Yarrowia lipolytica: one gene and its partners. The protein of the gene in region 2 interacts with the protein of the main gene of each other region in a biochemical or structural test. Links are inferred from orthologs where the notes say so. Each region holds a gene or a part of one and is shown on either strand. Other genes may lie near its edges. The genes, in order: YALI1_F30395g, YALI1_F35061g, YALI1_F12365g and YALI1_D09831g.

Region 1 (3,145 bases), about 470 kb from region 2:
CAATCACCCCACTAAATATTCTAATATCTGGGCTACAGCGCACGAGAACACGACATCTCCTTCTCGCATGTACAACTGCACCATGTATCAAGGAGCGTCCAGTCCGTCTCCATAGCAATAGGCGAGGAGAGACATTATTGGTTTACCAGGGTTTAGCTCAATTAAAGAGAATGAGAGTCCGAATGAGTTCAGAGTGACAACCTCCCACTTGTCTCACCATGGAAAGGCTGATTCATTCACCTGGAATGTGGAAGTATGTGTACGATTTTGGAAGATACTCATTAGAAATCACAACACAACAAGATATTAAGGTGCCAGATGTTGAAAAGGACGAGACTACAAGGGTACCCGTACTCGTACAAGTAGTATGCGAGGATATTGGCAGAAAAAAAATGCATATATTAACGAACGTGGGAGTATTGTGCTACTCCATGCAGTGAGATCAACTCTTAAATAGGTATGTGTGGCTGATAGGCCGCACAACTGATTGTGAACAAGTAGCTAGACTGTGCAACTTACATGATAACACACCCCTTCTTCTTCTTCTTCTTCACCTCCGAATTCTTCCTCTGATGCCCTTTGAAACTCGTCGAGATGTTTCGGATAGACGCTGCCGAACTCGTACTCTTGACACTCACGTGCTTCGACGCTCTATCGTCGTAAGGCATGTTCAGATAGTCTGCTCCAGTAGAGGACGTGGGGCTGTGGGTAGGGCTGCTCACGCCCATTCCGCTTGTACCAGCCAAGGAAACGGTTGAGCCGCCAAACGACGAGTCTCGACGAATGATCTGTCGCAGAAGGTCCTGGAACACCTGGTCAATGTTGGTCTTGAACTTGGCCGACGTCTCGTAGAAGGGAACCTTGCCCCATTGGTTGGCCAGCGCCACTCCGTCCCGAGGCTGCACCTGTCGCTCGTTTTCCAGATCGCACTTGTTGCCCACCAGCACCATGGGCACGTTGTTGTTGTCCTTGATCCGACACACCTGTTGTCGCAGCTCCTGCAGCTCTCGCAAAGACGACTCCGAGTTGACTGAGTAGACCAGAACGAAGCCCTCACCGTTTCGGATGTACAGCTCTCGCATGGCGGTGAATTGCTCGACTCCAGCGGTGTCGAGAATCTCCATGGTGCAGTGCCGGCCATCCAGATTCACCTTTTTGCAGTAGGAATCCTCAATGGTAGGGTCGTAGGACTCGATGAAAATGTCCTGCACGTACTGGACGGTAATGGCAGACTTTCCGACGCCACCGGCGCCCAGAACGACGATTTTGTAGTCTCTCATGCTGTGTATTTTTTTGTGGTGGTGAGAAGCGTAGGAGGGCTCAGGTATAAGTCATGTTTTGGTAGCTACGCTTGTTAGACATTAAGTTCACGTGTGAAATTTGGGTTTGTCATCAAGTTCTGGGCGGATGTCCATGAACATCGTTGTGATAGGGATAGGGGTGGAAAAATTACATAAAAATGCTTGACTTCATTATGGCTACTTTTTCCCATCTTTTATTTGTTTCTCGTCCTACAGGAATCTCAAATATCAGACGCTGCCCGCCACTCATTCCAACTCATATACACCAACACTAAAGCATAGTCCCAAAACTCTGTTTGTTGTCTCTGTGCTTTTTGTTTTGTTTTTATGTCCTCTTTCAAACAGGCGGGTGAGACAGTTGTGGGTTGTCTTTAGGCGTTTTGCGCCCTCTGCTTTAAGGCGTATACGACGCATTCCGCAGACGTTGCTCGGTACAGTAGTCCGGCTGATGGCAAGTGGCCCTTAAGCCCTTTCATTTGGCCCCCTACTTGTCTCGTTATTCAAGCCGTATATGCCCTGCCTGGCTGCTATACCTCACTGGGCCCACTTGGCGAAGAACCAAAAATAGACCCGTTTATTATTTCGCTCTGACACAAATATTCCGCCGAAAAGTGCCATATGTACTTTTGTGTCAAGACGCGAAACGCGACCTCTTTAGGCTCGGGGCACGTGCTGTACTAGTATAGCCACATAAGGGGTACAAGTGGCATAGAAGCTGTGCAATATTGTGGACACGGGACATAAACAAACCGAGCGCTGTACCAGCCTCGTGTCTAGCATAACAGCTATAGTTGCGCGCGTGTAGATGATTATTCAGCCCGATACAAGTAGACCCCGCTGGAAACTCAATTGTCAAAACACTGTTGACAATCATGAAAATCAGGGCAACCCAAGACCACACCACCACATACAAGCGCGGTGCGAGACACTCTGCCAGTAGCGAGTTCGATACTTGTACAAGGCGAGTTGTTTCATTCTGCGGTCTGAACCGACAGCCTCACGTCTCCCACTCGCTAAGAATGTAACGTCCACTGGCAGTGGTGCGCTCCTTGCATTCCCCTTCTTCTCCTGTCTTGCTGGCTTCGTCCTAACCACACATAGACACTGTGTTGTTAGGAGCGCTTGACAACCTAAAAACCCCCAAGACTGCATTCCGTCACTCCCGAGATGACGGAAGTGGATAGTGAGGAATTTGGGGACGGCAGGGCGCGAACCAGGGCTCTCAAGTCTTAGAATCGCTCAGGAGATCGTCAGATGGACCCCAGACGTCTCCCTTCTCTCCCCTGGCACTTGTACACATGCTACAGTACGAGTAGCTTGCTCTGAACGCTGCCCTACTTGTAGCTCTGCCAACTGTGTGTTTGGTGTGCACCAGTCGAACCTAAAGGGTTGATACAGTGCCCACCCTCAGAGCCAGAGATCTTCATCTGGGGAAAATCAAAACAGCACAGACGGGTATAAACATACATCTGGCAGAAAATGTGCAAAACAACGGGCGAAAAATATCGAGCCCGTGCATTTATACAGCCACGAGAAAAGGAATAAGCCGCTGTCCACATGAAACAAAAGACACCCTGGTTCTTTTTTTTTGCCCCCCTTTTTTTTCTTTCTGTCAAACCAGCCACGCGACACCTCTACTCATTATGCCAGAGAGCCACTATTGTTAGCTTAGCTCACCCCTTGGATGCACTCCTTCATACTTTTTTTTCTCTCCGATTGTTCAACCACACACACAAGGTGCAAAGTTTTCCATCGTGTCATGCAAGGAGTGCCTAAACATCAACCAAGGACCGATGACAGACTCCTTGGGTCGTCTAACTACACTACGAGTACAATATTTATGG
Region 2 (4,689 bases):
ACTTTACTAGCCCAGATACCGTGGTGGGACAGACCGATCCGGACTATATGATGGACGACGATGCCCCCATGGATGGAACCAGGAGAAACTCGTTGCATTAATCGGCTCTTCTGAAGTGGGCGTCTACTAACTGTACATACTGTAATAACATAGACTGTATACCTATCAGATGGTATACATGTATAACACCAAGTGACACGACCCTGTAAGCGAGCCAGTGTAAGACATATAGCTACCCGTACGGTCCCCCGATCCCTCAAATCATAACACAGCCTTAAAAATATATGCTACACCTAAAATACACAATGCCCACATCGTCTTCGGACGCACCTCCTGGTGGTGGTTCAAGTTTTCAAACGGGTTGGGTGCAAGACGCGCGACGCTCAATGCATAAAGAGCGATCTATAATAGTTCGAACCGCAGTTTATACAGATAGTACCAAACAGACAGTTTGAAGCCCGCTTTGAACAGCCAGAAACGCGAAATTTGACTCCAGCACTCCCAAAGGCCACTCTTAACTAGCGTACAAAACTAGCTTGTTCTTTCCGTACACTGCAGCGCCCAGATCCTCATCGTTGCTGATAACCACCCGGCTACCGTCATCTGCCTTGTACAGTAGACTCAGCGTCTCGACCCGTAATCGCTCACACAACCGGTCGTGTAGAGTAGCGTAATCGATGTCCGAGGGTACTCGAATCGCAATCAGATCGTCCTGATAGAAAACCTTCACCTTGACCGAGTTAGATGACGACTGCGGCGTATTGACGGCGGGGTTATCGGGCGTGGGACCCACCGTGGACACAGAGGTCATTCGCTGGTGTCCGCCGCCGGGGAGTCCGGTGGGTTCAGGAGGACCCATGAGACCCGATGCAGTGCTCACAGGCCGAGACTCCTCGGTGCCTTCCGAATAGCTTACGCTGCTGGAAGACACATTAGTCGGCCCCAGAGATTTGGGATGAATGCCCTTTGCCCGCGCCTCGGCCTGAGCGGCGTCAAACGACTCGGTCTCCGGCGTCAGAGGCTGTGGAAGGTCGTCGGTGGGACCGGCGGCCGCCACATCACCAGGGCGGAGAGCAAACAGCTCCTGCATGATCACAGACCGTGAAATATAAGCGGGAAGAGCCATGAGCTTGCGGACGTACTCGTCAAGGTTGTGACGTCGCTGCATGGAGATGGAGTCGTTAACGTAGGTAAGAGGCCCGGGCATGAAAGGAAGCAGACGAGGCTGATCATTGTGACCAGCAGCCTCTTCGAACACCCCCAGCAGGTTGATTTGGAATACGTAGAAGTCCTGGTAGTATCGGCACAATCGCCGCATGGAGCCGTCCTCCAGCTCTGCGTTGACGAGGTACCAGTATCGACCCGAGTGTAATGCAAACGACTCGACGGACGCCGCTACAACGAGAGGTCCAGTGGCAGGGGCAGCGTAATTTTCCCGGAGAGCCTGCTGTTCCCGGAGAGCCTGCTGTTCCTGCAGAGATTGTCTTTCTTGCAGAGTCTGGTGTTCCTGTTGAACCTGGTGTTCCTGCAGAGTCTGCTGTCCACGCAGAGCATGCTGCAGAGCCTGCTGCTGCGAGTGTTGCTGGGGGTCGTCAAAATTGCCAAGAGCAATGCTGGACGCCTTGTAGTCTGCTGCCATCCTTTTCCACTCTTCCACCTTGGGCAAGCCAGAAGCCCGTAAGGCAGACTCCACGTCGACAACCGCCTTTCCTGTCACTATGTCTCTGATCTCGATAAACGAGGCAGGGATCAGACCGGGGCCTCCCAGTCGGCCAACGGGCTTGGCAACAAACCACTCGTGATTGGATTGGGCCTGAATGATGATGTTATCGCCCTTGGATGCTTGCAGCTCGTCGGGCCGCTCGGCTTGGAAGTCGTAGAGCACCACGCCGTGCAGAGTGGGGGTGCTCTTGCCCTGCGACGATCGGTCGGATGCGCCCGCCATGGAGGGTTCTCTGGTGTGGCCTCCGGAGCCAGATGCGCCCCCTAAACTGAGGTTCTGCATGGACTGTGAAACGTCTAGCCCATTGGCCAGAACATGTTGAGGTGAGTGCTGAGCATGCTTGCTCTGACTCGATCTGTGCAGCGCCTTTCGTTCTTCGGGGAGAAGAGCCTCATTTGGGTCGGGCGAGGTGATACCCTCCTTCTTGCCGAGAACCTCAAAGTAAGGCACGGGCACCATGCCTCGCACGTTGCGCAGCGGGTTGAAAGCCTCAAACCACTCCGAGTCCTGTTCGTTGGAAATCACGTGGAAAAAGTCGCCCTTGCAAAATGAGAGCTCGCCGGGTCCTTGTGGCTCGTAGTCGTAAAGTGCTCGAATCACCATTTTCGGGGGGTTCGTGTGGAGCGGGTTTTTGTCGCTGACCAGCGAGTTGGCCGAGCCAGACGACGTGGTCTTCTCGCCTTTGAGAGAGCGGCGGATTCCCTGAGTTAGTATACGGAACCGAGGGGCCGTGCGTCAGGAGCTAACAGCAGCCGGCTTCTTGTGTCATGACGTAAAAAACAAGCCCATAACAACACCAAGTCTGTGGTGACAAGGATGTAAAGAGTCATAAAACAGCCTTTAGGAGGGATTGGTGAAGTGATGGGTATATCGATGGGGTAGCTCCGGTTGGAAGGGTGTTTCTGCTCGTATGCCCCAGGCCTGGAAACAGAAACAAAACGAGCTTGGAGCTTCTATCTGGTCAATGATTGCGTAGTCAACACTGAATATGGGTCCGCTGAATACACGGTCCATGCCCCTGACTAGCGCCCGGTTTAGTTGCTTATCATGGACATGGCAATCACACTGTGACAGCCCCAAAGCTACCCCAAAGCCACACAGAAACGATGAAAACAGCGATGCAGAACATTTAATACCAACGTAATCTCCAGTTCTGACTGTTCCCATGTCCACCATTGCTCTTTCTCCATTTCCGTTCATGTTTCCTCTGTGACAGCATGGGGTCTCCACTCACGCCACAGCACCTTCCTAGGGGTGTAACGACATCTGGAGACATGCTGGGTGTCCAGCGAGCTTCGTGGACCCATCACACACCCTCAGCAGTCCGCATACGGCCTCCAAACAGCCGTTAATACTCACCTTGATCATTTCTCAAACGGTAGGGACGACGGATACTGAAACTGTGTTTGCACTTTGCCTTTGAAACCTTAGCACCACAGGGATGATTAGTGGGGTGCAAGTGGGAGGAAGGTAGTGAGTATAACTTGTGTGAATTTCAGGAAAGCCCAAAAGTGATGGAGGGTGTGTAAATGGGGCTTGCCTGGTTTATTTATTTTTGAAAACAAACTTGGCCTCGATATTTTCAGACCCCCGCTTTCCTCTCTCTCTCATTCTTCTAATACCCCCTTTATATAACCACACTGCCCCATGGGCAACATGTTGGCCTCATTTGATCTTAACCACACCCACTGGAAGTTGGAGCTTACCCTACTTTCATGTCCGTGGTGTCATAATCTGTCATGCGGTGGTGCTGCAAAGATATCTGTGTGTTTAAATGAGTGTGGAACGGTGCATGCAGACGACGACTCAGCCGTGCCAAGCCCGGATTTGGCTTTCTCCAGAAATATCTCTAGGAAGGGGTAAATGAGGAGTGGAGTCCCTCGAATCTGCTGGTGGTTGTTTTCTTGTCATACAAAGTCATGATTCCATTTAGCGGAGCTACTTACGCCCGGCTGAAGCGAACATGCTGGATGATCGCCACCGCGGTTGTGTCTACACCCCTCGCATCGACTGGCACTTTCGGGCTGGATCAATATTGGATCCATTTTGGGCGTTTAGGTTATGTAAATGCACTGTGCCGAAAGAGGTTGAATGTTTGTTCAAAAAGAGATTGAAGATGCTGCCAAAAAGTGTCGCCATATTGCCATGTAACGTACTTTTACTTGCTGAATGACCCCGAAATGAAGCTATTTACCCATCCAACACTCTTGGTCAGGAAGCCCTTTTTCGTTGTACTCAATTGTCCTGTCCTTGGTGGCCTATTTTTAGCCCCGTAGGCTTTAGCGTCAATAACGCTGTTCTGAAGACTTTTTCCTTCCTTAATATTCTTATTTGACAGAAAATGTCCACTCCTCCGCGCAACTCTGTTGTGAAACAATGGTGAAACGCTGCTGCGTAGAGTGGGAGACAGGGATCCAGGCCGTCTGAGTAACACCCACGTTTACAAACCCACACAGACATTCGCATTATCTCGGGAGCTTCATAAGCCAAGTGGCTGCCATGAAAAACTCTTTGTTGGTAGCCGTTGATTAGGGCAGTTTTGACGAACATTAGCGTGGGGGGCAGTACATACCATACAAATACAGATCTGTAACACGACTGAATTGTCCAGGAGAGAAAAAGAAATTCTTGCAGAGGAAGATACTGTGATACACATGGTTGTCTCGGCTGGTGCGGAGAGAGATCTGGAACACCGGACGAGCCGCCAGTGAGGATTGCTTCCGCAGTATGTACTGTAAGTACTGTACCGTTAAAAGCACGAGACTCGCAGACCTAAAAATAACAGTCAAGGCTTTGCAACCAGCCTAAGCCTTGCCAAGTTACCACCTTCTACCTATACAGCACTTTCTTAGATTATACGAGACTGGGGCGTGTCGTGTGCCCTGTGCTGGCGCTTCGGACAATTCTTTCGATAACAGAACCTTCACTTGATTGGAGCACCTTGGCCCCCTTCGATTCAAAACGTA
Region 3 (7,011 bases), about 2.3 Mb from region 2:
GCGCATCGGATTTAGCAATGGCCTGTTTGGGCCTAATTTCGAGTTGAGTCGTAATCCCGCAGTGATGGTATTTTTTTTCTCGCAGTGATGTATTTTTTTCTTTTTTCCCCTCTTTTTTTGAAATAAACAATTTAATTGATAATTGCACTTGGGGTAAAGCAGATGTTAGAGGAGATTCGGGTTTTTATTGGTGGCTCTCACAAAAAAAAAATTCTTTTGAATTTTCGTACCTCCGTCTCCAATTAAATTGACCAATTTGCTGTTGATATCGGCTTAGTAATGTATGTCTTAGTTGGAATATTTAGTTGAATGATTAGTTTACTGAATGCATCATATTTTATGTATTGTGTATAAAAATATATATAATATGTTACAGTATATACAGTATATGTTATAAAAAAATACCCTAAGAAAAGTGAGAAAAAAAAAAGAAGAAAAAAAACATTACATTAACCGTGATTGCGGGTTCGATCCTCGAGCGCTAGATTATATCACATGCTCCGATTCTAATAAAACAAGACAATTCCGCCCCAAATATACGCCGTACATACTCGGTGGTATTTTCGTCTCTTGAATCCCCCCATTCACCGCCCCGCTTACATCATGTACCAATCTTCCAACTGAAACTTTTTCATACATACATCACCACTTCACACAACACCACACAAACACAATGATGTCGCTATTGAGACAGGTGCGGCACATGTCGACCGCCGCCAGCGCGCCCAGCGGGTTCCTCAAGGTGTCTGCCGAGCAGATCAAGCCCCTGCTGCTCGCCAACCAGCACATTTTCGCCAAGGTGCACATGCACAACAACGCCTACCTGGTGACCAAGGGCGACCAGATGCGACTGCCTTACCGGTTCAAGGGCCTCAAGGTGGGCGACGTGATCAACTTTGAGCACGTGAGCCAGATCGGCTCTCGGGATCACGTGTTCCAGGGTGACAAGTACATTTCCCAGGACCACTTCAACATCAAGGGCGTTGTGACTGCTCTCACTGCTGAGCCCATGACCACCCATGTTCACCATCGAATCAAGGACAAGGGTTACACTCGGACCCAGCGAAAGGTGCCCCAGACCATCATTCGAATTAGCGAGCTGGAACTCAAGGCTTAGAAGAGGAAGTTGAAATTACGAGTGGAGCGAGTAATTTGGTTCTTCTGCGTTATGTATATAGGAATGCATTTATTGCGTAAAGGAACGACACCGGGCGACACAGGTGCTACTGTCCAACGAGCACTGGCTATCATGTGCAGTTGTGGGTCGTGATCTACAACTGAGATCAGTATGTGAATGGAAGGCAACAATTGAGGTTGTAGTGAGGTCATTATATAGTGGGGGTATCGATAAAGTGTCTGGAGTTGAAAAGTTGCAGACGAATATCTCCATTTGGTATTTTGCTTGGTACGGTGAATTGATGATTGTAGCCATACTAGGTACCAGTGTGACTATGGAGGATGGGGGATCTAAGAGGGTCTAAGATCTAAGGTCTAGATCTAAGAAGGTCTAAACATGTTAATAGAGGTCTCTACAGATGCTGAGATACACGTGTCTAGTCACCATCTTCAATTACCGGTCAAATACTCCCCAATATCTCTCCCTCACTTCGTCACCAAATCTAAACAAAACAGTTGAGGATTTATTTGACTCGGTTGTCCCAGTTGGGTGCGGCTTTAACGAAGAGAGGACGGATTAATGTGGCTGAACTTGCTCCAAAAGTGACCTTTTTGGAACGGGGAAAAACGGAATTAACTCATAACCAGATTTATGACGCTTTGCACTCTTCACTTTCCCCCATAATCTCCTTCAACCCCCTCAACCTCTCTCGTTCTGACCCCGATAAACTTAAACTCCCTGCAAACACGAGACCACGCACTCCAGCATCTCACCACTACTTGTACAGTACAAGCACCCGTACACGGAACCATGGGCGAGTTCCATATCAACCTGATTCCGACGTACGACGACGCTCATAATCTCACGGACGATCTGCAGTCCGTGTCGTCGTCGCCGTACTCGGTGACCGTGCCCAAAAACCGACTTCGTTCGCGCAGCGACTTGTCTGAGGTCGCAGACCGATCTGTGTCCACTGGAGCTCTGGAGCGACTGGTTCCGAACCCAAACAAGATCCGCGTCGACCGACGTGTCGTGAGTGATACCAATGGTGACTCGAATGCCAACTCGGGTCCCAGTCTCACGCACCATCTTTCCCATGCCAATCTTAACACTTACAACAACAACAGCAGTACCAACAACTTGCAGACTCCGCAGAAGCTCAAGTCGTCTGTTTCCTACTCTTCGCTACATCGCACACCCAACAACAACAACTTTGACACCTCGTTCCAGTCTCTGCAGTCCGAACAGTCGTTCCATACCGCGCCGTCTCCAGACGGAGTGCTGTCGTCAAGTCCTAACGAGACCAGACTCAAATTCCAGAAAAGCAGAGACATTTTACGCCAGGGAGCCCCGTCTCCCCTCAATCTCACGCCGGGGAATAGATCTGTGAACGCCACGTCGCCTCATCCTCCGACACCTTCGGCATACTTGTTTGAAAACGACTCCAGCCATAAGAACCAGGAACAGCCGAGTAAACAGAGCCCGATCCAGTACTCGTCGCCGCATCCCATTGGAAACGCCATCTCTTGGAAGGCAGACGAGCCCAATAATTGGACGCTGGACCGTGTGCTCATGTTTCTGGACTTGTATCAGTTTGGCCCCGACTGGGCCCAGACCTTCACAGAACGCAACATCGTGGAAGGGCGGTTCTTGGAGCTCGTGAGCTACCAGAAACTCAAGGCTCTGGGCCACCTTAGTCTGAACAATGGAGAGGTGGACACTTCTCCCTCGAGATTCATTCATATCCTGCGGAAGACGCTTAACAGAGGTACATCCAGTGGCACTATTGACGTTGACGCGTTGAACTCCTCTCAGAGCAGTGATGGTACTACAGGGAGACATGCGGCAACAAGCAGCCCACAAGCGTTTACTTCTCCTCAAATGGGCTCTCCTGTGATCTCTCAAAACTCTCCCGTTCCACATCACTCCCCGGCTCCCTCTGAGCCCCCTCCCCCTCCTCCGCCTCCAACGAATTCTGCTTCCTCCCCCGCCCCGCATCGAAATTCAGCTCCCCCTCCCCCAACTTCTACACCTTCAGCTGTTCAGGCCAAAGCTCACATTCCAAACAGCCCCTCAACTTCGTCTCTGACATCTCCGCTAGTGCCTACCACTTCAGCTCCAGCTGACAAAATCACCCCTCGACCGCTCAAGACAAATCGTCCTCAGCGACCAATGACAGCGTATGAGGGTCTCTACCGCACCATGAAGTCACCCGTATCTCCGTCCGGAAACTTCTTCAGACGTACTCACCATAAGTCGTCGTCGTCTGAGTCTTCCATTTTGGGGGAAGATGGTCTACCAAAGGAGGAAGAGAGAAAGAGTCGAAACCTGTTTTCGAGACTCCGGCGAAGGGACAGATCGTCTTCAAAGAACAGAAACTCGACAATCCCCCCTTCTCCTGTGGATCACGATGGAGCTGCTTCTCTGTACTCCAACGAGTCCAAGGATAAAACGTCCTCACCTACATTGACATCTTCATCTGGGTGGGCACCTCCTAAACCGCCCAAAGTGCCGATTCCTAACCCCACATACAACCCTCCCCCGCTTCCTCCTCGGTCGGGGTCTCAGCAGACTCCTACCTCTGCTTCTACCCACCATTCCTCGCTGTCTGGCTTCTCGGTCAACTCTCAGCCGGCACCCAGTACTCCTCTGGACCGGTACTTTACAATCACCCAGAACGACAGAATGATTCTGGTCACTCTGGACAACGTGCATTTTGTGGCCGCGGACTTGAAGAATGTGCTTTCGGTTCCTCAAGCTACAGATGTCATTGCGAAGGCTTTGGGCCTCAATACTCATGATCTGCGGTTCAGACTCACCGATGTGGGTAGTGAAGCTAGTGAGAAACTCGACGAGGAAGCCCTCAGCTACTTCTTTTCTGACAACAAAGTCATGTTATCGAATTACAAGCTGTTGGTCGAGTCGGCGTCTCCCTCAGCCACTCTAGCACCCGCAGTGGCTGCACAGACGTCTTCCTCAGTTACTTCTTCCCCTGGAAAGTCGATTTACTCCCTTGAAACCCCCTCAGGGGGCACAAAGTACCCTGCCACGCCTTCCTACCTCTACACGAAGACGCAAGAGCCTCCTGGGGACTACTTTTCCAGCCAACCACCCTCCAAACCGACCCGGCAGCCTTCCCAATCATCTATTCAAACTGCTTCTGACGACCAGGATTCGTTCAAGGTAATTCGTCCTCCTCCCAAGAAGGAGATCAACTTTGACAACCGACGCTCATCTCCCTACGATACCTTGTCTCGAAACACGTCTTTTGTCGCACGTCGAGAAGCCCCCCGACGTCCCGAGTCATCTTCTTCTGTGCGAGTAAGATCCACGGCTGTCAACTCGTACACACCGGGTGAGTCTGAAAAGTTCATTCCTAGACCGTATCATGGAGGCAGTAACCGGCTAGTGATGCGCAAACCTGTCAGTGCAGCCTCTTCACCTGTTGATCAGCAGTCCAACGACCCTACTGCAGCTACAACTGCGGTTTCTGCTGCCCCTCAACCGTCTCGTCTTAACCCCAAGTTGTCTGGCAACTTCACTTTTGGCCGATCGGGACTCAAATTCAAGGTGCCCAACTACCAGGACAAGCTGCAGCGAAGGTCCACATCCTCCTCCGTGCGAGTTGCGCCCGAGCAAAACTTCCAAGAGAACGATATCTCGTTTGACGACATTCAGTTTGACGACGATGATGATGAGTCAGATGATGGGCTGTGGTCCAAGAAGCTGACCAAGCCGACGGAGGCGGTCTCTTCGACGGTCTCATCCACGCGCTCCTCCACTTCTTCGTCTTCAGACGTCTGGGCCGTCCGTCCTCCTGCTGAGGTTGTTTACGACAACCTGGAGCGGTTCTTCCCCAACGCCGATCTCGATAAACCGATCATTGACGATGTGGAGTCACCGCCCACGTCGCCTGACAAGCGCGAGACGCTCGACTACGTGAAACCCCGTTCCATGATCATTGACCAGAGTCAGAACGACCGAAAGGCCACTATCACACCTCTCACCTCCAAGATCAAGGAGGAGGGCACGCTGGAGAAGGAGGAGAAGACTCCCGCGGCAAAATTCTCGCGAAAAACGGGCACCTCCCGTATCAAATCGATCCGAGTGGTTGCCAGGGAGGCATCCGAGGCCCGGAAACGGTTCTCCACGTCATCCACCAAGTCCACAATGACGAATCCGGCTTTGCTGCGACGGCGATCGACGAAAATGTGGGGCCAGAAGGTGGTGGAAGCTACGCCCAACCAGATCAAGAAGGGCCACATTTCTACTGTGCGCGACCAGCGGGGCCATCTCAAGAAGTTTGTATGGGTCAAGGGTGAGCTGATTGGCGTGGGTACCTTTGGTAAGGTTTATCTGGCTCTTAATGCCACCACTGGAGACATGATGGCAGTCAAGCAGGTTGAGGTGCGCAACAAGGCTGCTGCTGAGGTCGGTGTGGGTGCCCTACATGCCGAAGTCGGTACTATGAAGAACCTGGACCATTTCAACATTGTGCAGTATCTAGGCTTTGAAACCATGCAGGACCACACTTACAACCTGTTTCTGGAGTACGTGCCTGGAGGCAGTGTGGGTTCTTGTTTGCGCAACCATGGTCGGTTTGAAGAGAACATTGTGCGATTCCTTACGCGGCAGATTCTTGAGGGTCTAGCGTATCTGCATGGCTGTGGCATTCTTCACCGAGATCTCAAGAGTGACAATCTGTTGCTCGACCTGGACGGAGTGTGCAAGATTTCGGACTTTGGCATCTCGAAGAAGTCTCGGGACATCTACTCCAACGACGCCGAAATGTCCATGCAGGGCACGATTTTCTGGATGGCTCCCGAGGTGATTCACAATGTCATCCACAATGAGAAGCAGGGCTATTCCGCCAAGGTTGACATTTGGTCTCTTGGATGTGTTGTGCTGGAGATGTTTGCCGGACGACGACCGTGGAGCAACGATGAGGCTATTGGAGCCATGTACAAACTTGGAAATAGCCGGTTGGCTCCTCCTATTCCGGAGGATACCAAGACGTTTGTGTCGGAAGATGCAAAGGACTTTTTGGACAAGTGTTTTATTATGTGAGTAACGAGAATCGTGAGCGATGGGAGCGATTCGAGACGAGACGAGCTAACGTGAAGCGTTGGTTATGTTAATAATGGTGGGGTTTTTGTTTTGCAGAGGAAGTCCCTCTTGCTTTTTCACACCCTGGTAGATACTAACCCAGTGATCCGGAACAACGACCGACAGCTCAACAACTATTGGACCATCCCTTTTGCACGCTGAGCCAAGACTTCAACTTCTTGGACACGTCGCTCGCCAAGGTGATTCGGTTCAACGACAAACGACCGATTCAGGAGTCGTGATTATTTATTAATGATACCACGTAATGATTGACTGGGGTGGCTGTTCCAGCAACTGTAGATGAAGGGGCAGACCAGACGTGGAGATGTAGATGGTGGACAGTGAGTAGTCTGTGAACGATTGTGTGCTTGTCTGGACGTTGAATCGTTCGAACTGACAATACGAGCCCCGAAAGCAATTCCATATGGTCGACATCATGTGTATGAGTAGATGCCATCGTCTTGATATAGTGGTGAGTCCAATGTGGGCTACAACTTGAGCGGATGTGGAGCGGTAAACAGGTCTGCTAACGAGGTCCAGGACTCCATCAATGGCTCTACAACGATCCTGATGGGTCTTCAAGTGAGTTTTTGTACTGCCTCTTTAGGCACAGTTTTGTTTAAGTCTTTACTTGACAATTAGTTAAATAAAAGTTGTGCTGGGGATCCGGATTTGATGATTAAAAAGAGATGGGGAAATGAGAAGTTTTTCAGATGATAGGTAGGACCCCATTTAATGACTAATATGTCCGAATAATGTCTGTCTTCATACAAGTTTTGAATGTTTGT
Region 4 (4,918 bases), on a different chromosome or scaffold from region 2:
TGTTAACAACATACACAGAATATGAAGTACATTCAACATATTATATTACGAGTCGGAGAGTTGACTTTACCATCTGATATTAGCTAGCTATCGTACATTCTCAATGCCAAATGCCGTATACCTCAACCGCATATCAACAGCATCCCGGAAGAAAAACTTGTGGATCAAGCCATCAGTTCTCTAGAAGCGTGTGTACATACTGCAACTCATGTCATCTACACCCAAGTGTGATTTGTATGTCTCTGCTCTGCCCATACACGATAGTGATACTTGTATGTACATACTGTAGTGTGAGTACGAATGTACTAGACAAGCCCCCTCGTAGAGTATCGATCTCCCACTTCTTATAGAGACACAAGCTCATGAGTTGTTTGCAGCGTGGTAATAGTAATCTGCACTACGTGGGGGTAATCTACAGTAACACCCTCCATAACTCTGGGTCCAAAAGCTCTCTACATGCTGTGTACGAGGAAAAATGTGTGCAAGCTCTCGGAGAAAGTTCCTTGATCTCGCGTTCTCAAACTCCAAACTCCAATTAGCATTATAATGTTAGTCCTGTAAACTGCCCTCAATACTGGGCATATCTGGAACCTGCGGACTCGCAGTCTGATAACTCTTCGGCGACTGCATGGAAGAGGACGCCGGTGAGGTGGGGGAAATGACCATCGACTTCTTACGCGTCACTCCACCATTGGGAACCGTAAACTCGTCACTGTACATGGGAGGAGTCTTGATGCCAATAGCCTGTTCAGCAGCCTCGATGTCTCCTCCGTTGGCATCCAGCTGGCTCTGCAACAACGCCATGTTCTTGTGTGACTCCTGCAGCATCTCCTGGGCCCGATTCAGTGTCACAGTAGGAGTCACACACGACGACACAATAGGAACTGTATCATCTCGGTCAATGGTGGCCTTGAGAAATGCATTCATCCATCCCTTCATCTCTTCCGCGGTGTCCACCGCAAAGTAGTGCACCTTGGGGACAGTGAACATGAGTCCCTTTTTGGACCCAGGAGCCGGCGGCAACAGCTTGAAGCAGTATCTACCTGCTCCTGTGCCCGATGCATACAAAGCCACCAGCTTGTCTTCATTGTCACGTGCAGGAACCACCTTGTGGGCCGTCAGGTCAATTAGTCCTCGCTCGTAGGTGTCGTTAAGAGATGCAAAGTACGACAGCCGGGTGCCTGTGAGACAGAAGAACCGTTGCTTCCACGTGCCCACGCTCTGAGAACCCTTCTTGGACATCCAGCCCGAAAAGTCGGCCTTCTTGGCAGCCTCGCGGGGATTCACGTGCTTGATACCTTCTCGGAAGGCCGACGTCTTCTGCTTCGAGCTGAGACTCTTGGACCGCATGTTGGAGGCCGAGGGAGTCTTTCGGAGCGTTCTGAAGGGACCGCTGCCGGTTCTCTTGGGTGTGGGAGGAGTGGGCATGGCCTCTGGACGCTGCTCTTTCTGGTGCTGGATGGGCGACAGAGTGAGATCGGGATCTGAGGAGCCTACTTCTCGCCCAGAACGCTTGGAAGGACTCAAGGGGGCGTTCATGACCGCGTCAAGAAGAGAAGATCGTCGCGACGATCTCGATTTCGGCTCTGGGGATGACGACAGCGAGTCCGAGTCCAAATGAGTGGCGTTCTCAGATGAGAGAGAATGCCCCGCCGAGGGGTGGCGGTGCAGCTGGGGCGAGTCCATGACCGAATGTGGCGTCGAGTGCGACGAGTGGGCGTGCTGGAGGGGAGGACGTTGCGACTCACGAGACTTGCGGGGGAAATCCCGAACGGATTCCTTAGATTTGCGTGAATCGACAGCCCCCTCTGGTGGCTGCTGCGTCTTGCGCGGCAACTCGGGAAGATCGTGTTTGGGAGGCTCTGTAACTGATTGACGTGAGCTGTTGTTAGACACGTTGGCTGATGACCGTCCTCGAGATTGCTGTTGCTGCGATGCAGACAGGCGAGGGTCGTGTACCGAACTCCTCTGTGTCTGGGGCTCAGACTGTGATTGTCGTTGTGACTGAGACAGTCGCTGTGATGGTGGTTGCTGGGGCTGTCCCTCTTCAAAACCAAAGTCGTCAATAGTGCCTCCTTGGGGGATAGCAAACTCCGTGCTGGGTGTAGCGGTGGAAGGCGACGAAATTGGAAACTCGCTATTCAGTCTAGGAGAATCAAGATTGTCCAGAGACTGGGACCGTTTCCGCATATGACCCTTCTTAGGCGACACGTATGCGGTGGAGGAGCGTCGGTTGGTACTGCCACTGGTTGGCCGCGGCGACATGGGATCGCCCCGCAGCTTCTCAATCTCCTTGTACACCTCGAACCGCGTGCCGAACGACGTGATGTCCAGCTCCTTGAGATGTTGCAGCTCGAGCTCGGTGAGGATGGCACCTGATATCTTGTGTTCGACAAAGAGCTTGGGGATGGCCGGCTCAAAGCCCCGGTTCTCGAACCATCTTGCCACCTGTATCGGCGTCCACGACATGACGCGTGCTGGGTCCAGCTCGCCTCCGTTGGCCGACGCCTTCTTGGTCACCGACAGCTGGCTTGTGTGGTTGTTGAGCTCCGAAAGCACCTCATCGATGTCTGTGAGCGTCTTTGTGACCGATGGCGATTGCTGTGATTGCGAAACGACCCGTGAGCTTGGATTCGAGCCTGCGGGAGTTGTGGGGCCCGAAGAAGGAAGCTGCTGGCCCGGCTGGACGTCCGCGTCCATGAGCTCGTCCACGGTGGACGCAAAGACGCGTGGAAACAGGCCCGTGGCGCCCGTGATGAGCCGCTTGCCAATGTACCAACCGTCTTTGAATTCAAAGTCGTTTTCAATCACCTGGATTTGCTCGCCGGACACAAACGTCAGCTCGTCCTCCGACCGGTTGTTGAAATCGTGGATGGCGATCAGCACCGTCTTGACCTCGTGCGAGGGCGTGGGTGCGGGATTGACCGACATTGTGGTGGAGTGTTGGTTGGAATGAGTGTGGTGGAAACTGGGAGGTGTCTTGTGTGGCTGTTGGTGGTGGTATCGTGTGTCTGTGTAATGAACTGTCTGTGTCGTGCTCGTGCGCTCACTTGATCAATTTTGGTTTGTATCGTGTCTCTGCGGCGTGTCTCGTAGCACCTATCCGTGCTCCTATCTGTGTAAAGTGGTGATCGTGGGGAATTTTAAAATTCCACTTTGCCTTCCTGACAATAGTGCACTTGGGTGGACTTGAAACACACAAACTTTGGGACCGCCTTTGCTTCACCTCTGCAGCTTGGGACTGCAATATGCAACAGGAGACAACAAGAAGGCAGAAATGAGGGGGTTCAAGGGGGTGTTTTGGGCGAGATTTTGGAGGGGAAACCCCACAACTACAACCAAAACCAACCTTCTGACTAATATCGACCTTTGAAACCCCCAAATTCACCCACAAACACCCCATCATCGCCACGCTCAACCCCTGTTGTCAGGGTAAGGGCTGCTCTTTAGGTGCACTTAGACTCTTAGACTCGCACGTTATATAACAAAAGCAGCGGTGAGCTTGTCTGAGTACAATACAAGTAATACAAGTAACAAGTAAGACTGTACAAATCACCCTGGTATCGTACAATGGCTTATGATGTGATGTGGCCAGCACGACGCTCAGGGGCTGTCAAACCAGCTCCGCGACTGCCCCGCCCAGCCGTCACCTGACTCAATAGTCCACTTTTACATCCCTTTGGGTTCTACTTGTAGACGTCTCAAAATGTGGGCGTTGTCAACATCCTATTGCACCACTGCACCCTACATATGTACCTTTCCCCTGACGCCTTGTTTGGGAGGCCGGAGAGCGCTGTCCAGTTAGTGAACACTGTGCTGTACGACCGCACTGGCGCTAGCACGAGTCATCTACAGTAGTATGGGTTTTGCCTGTAGGTGGGGTAATGGTGCGACACTTGGACCTCGGTTATCTCACAATCTCGTCCTGTGACTCCGTGGCCGCACTAGTGGCATTCTACAGCGTCGTCCTAGTTGCAAATCTGCATGCTAGCCGTGCGTAGAGGAATGCGTGAGTACCAGCACAAGCGGCTAGCTATTGTACCAGTGTACGAACTGTAGTCTGCCCTGGGCTTTGGAAAGTACGGGGTAAACAGGGCTACTTATACTCGATGTCCACCTCTTGAGTCCTGTCACCCGCACCTATTACTCCGTATAGCCAATAATTAATACACCGTTGAGGAGGAAATTACATTGGTCTGCATATTAGGAGGGGCAGAAAATTTAGGTGCTGACTGGACTGACGGCGTGTACGACGACACTGTGATGTCCAAGTGCGGCTTGCAGAGTGTCTCCGAGCTGCTATTGGAACAGGTAAAAGTTGGTTACTAAGCAGCGTGCCTCAGACCACCAATACCAGCCATTTGGTCTCCGTCTTCACCACACTTGACTTGCTTTTGTACGATATACGAGCGCGGTGACACTGCATGTACAGCACCTTTCTTTTTTTTCTTTCTTTCTTTCCGCCCTTCAAGTGGAAACCTTGCTCCGCGCCATGGAGTGCGGCTGGAGCAGAAGGAGGACAGGTTATGCACTGGTTGAGTGAGTGGCTGGGTCACGTGAAAGTGCCTACCTGCTTTGATCACGAGACTGACACGTGATTGAAAGTGTAACTGTGGACATGGTATGTACTGGTGACATACATTGGCCCAAAAGTTGGCAAATTCCATCCCTTTTGCAGATCACCGACCAGGGTTCTTGCGCAGCGATCGCGTGTTGCCTCGCTCCAAATGCACGGGATGAAGAGATCGTCATAGTTCGGAGTGCGAAGCCCTACGAGAATGCAACGGGAATAGCCATAATGGGAAGCACCATTATATGGACGCAGTATTTCCGAGAGGTCTCCGTGTGAAGTCGTCTACATAATCAGTACAGTATGTACAAGTACACTCAAACTGTGAGGCCTGTCATATGTGTCCTT

What was found.
Region 1: the proteins of YALI1_F35061g (region 2) and YALI1_F30395g form a complex in vitro, tested with the Saccharomyces cerevisiae proteins (2 studies listed by BioGRID). The link is inferred for Yarrowia lipolytica from reciprocal best matches to the Saccharomyces cerevisiae genes BEM1 and RSR1.
Region 3: the proteins of YALI1_F35061g (region 2) and YALI1_F12365g interact in a test that uses a peptide from one of them, tested with the Saccharomyces cerevisiae proteins (2 studies listed by BioGRID). The link is inferred for Yarrowia lipolytica from reciprocal best matches to the Saccharomyces cerevisiae genes BEM1 and BCK1.
Region 4: the proteins of YALI1_F35061g (region 2) and YALI1_D09831g form a complex in vitro, tested with the Saccharomyces cerevisiae proteins (2 studies listed by BioGRID, with this or other methods). The link is inferred for Yarrowia lipolytica from reciprocal best matches to the Saccharomyces cerevisiae genes BEM1 and BOI2.

The regions. Positions count from the first base shown.
Region 1 is NC_090775.1:3,038,265-3,041,409, forward strand, and holds YALI1_F30395g (uncharacterized protein), read right to left. Parts: upstream 1,281-3,145; coding exon 516-1,280; downstream 1-515. UniProt on the Saccharomyces cerevisiae protein: Ras-related protein which binds GDP/GTP and possesses intrinsic GTPase activity. Involved in development of cell polarity during the cell division cycle, and essential for bud emergence.
Region 2 is NC_090775.1:3,503,751-3,508,439, forward strand, and holds YALI1_F35061g (uncharacterized protein), read right to left. Parts: upstream 3,092-4,689; coding exon 3,083-3,091; intron 2,426-3,082; coding exon 515-2,425; downstream 1-514. Other genes in the region: YALI1_F35029g (uncharacterized protein), read left to right, coding at 1-101.
Region 3 is NC_090775.1:1,235,868-1,242,878, reverse strand, and holds YALI1_F12365g (uncharacterized protein), read left to right. Parts: upstream 1-1,927; coding exon 1,928-6,180; intron 6,181-6,326; coding exon 6,327-6,465; downstream 6,466-7,011. Other genes in the region: YALI1_F12430g (uncharacterized protein), read left to right, coding at 1-88; YALI1_F12422g (mitochondrial 54S ribosomal protein bL21m), read left to right, coding at 674-1,117. UniProt on the Saccharomyces cerevisiae protein: Serine/threonine protein kinase involved in a signal transduction pathway that plays a role in yeast cell morphogenesis and cell growth. This pathway seems to start by SMP3; then involve the kinase PKC1 that may act on this kinase.
Region 4 is NC_090773.1:981,118-986,035, reverse strand, and holds YALI1_D09831g (uncharacterized protein), read right to left. Parts: upstream 2,932-4,918; coding exon 550-2,931; downstream 1-549. UniProt on the Saccharomyces cerevisiae protein: Protein involved in bud formation. Functions redundantly with BOI1 to promote the fusion of secretory vesicles with the plasma membrane at sites of polarized growth. Acts as an abscission inhibitor during cytokinesis in response to chromatin bridges.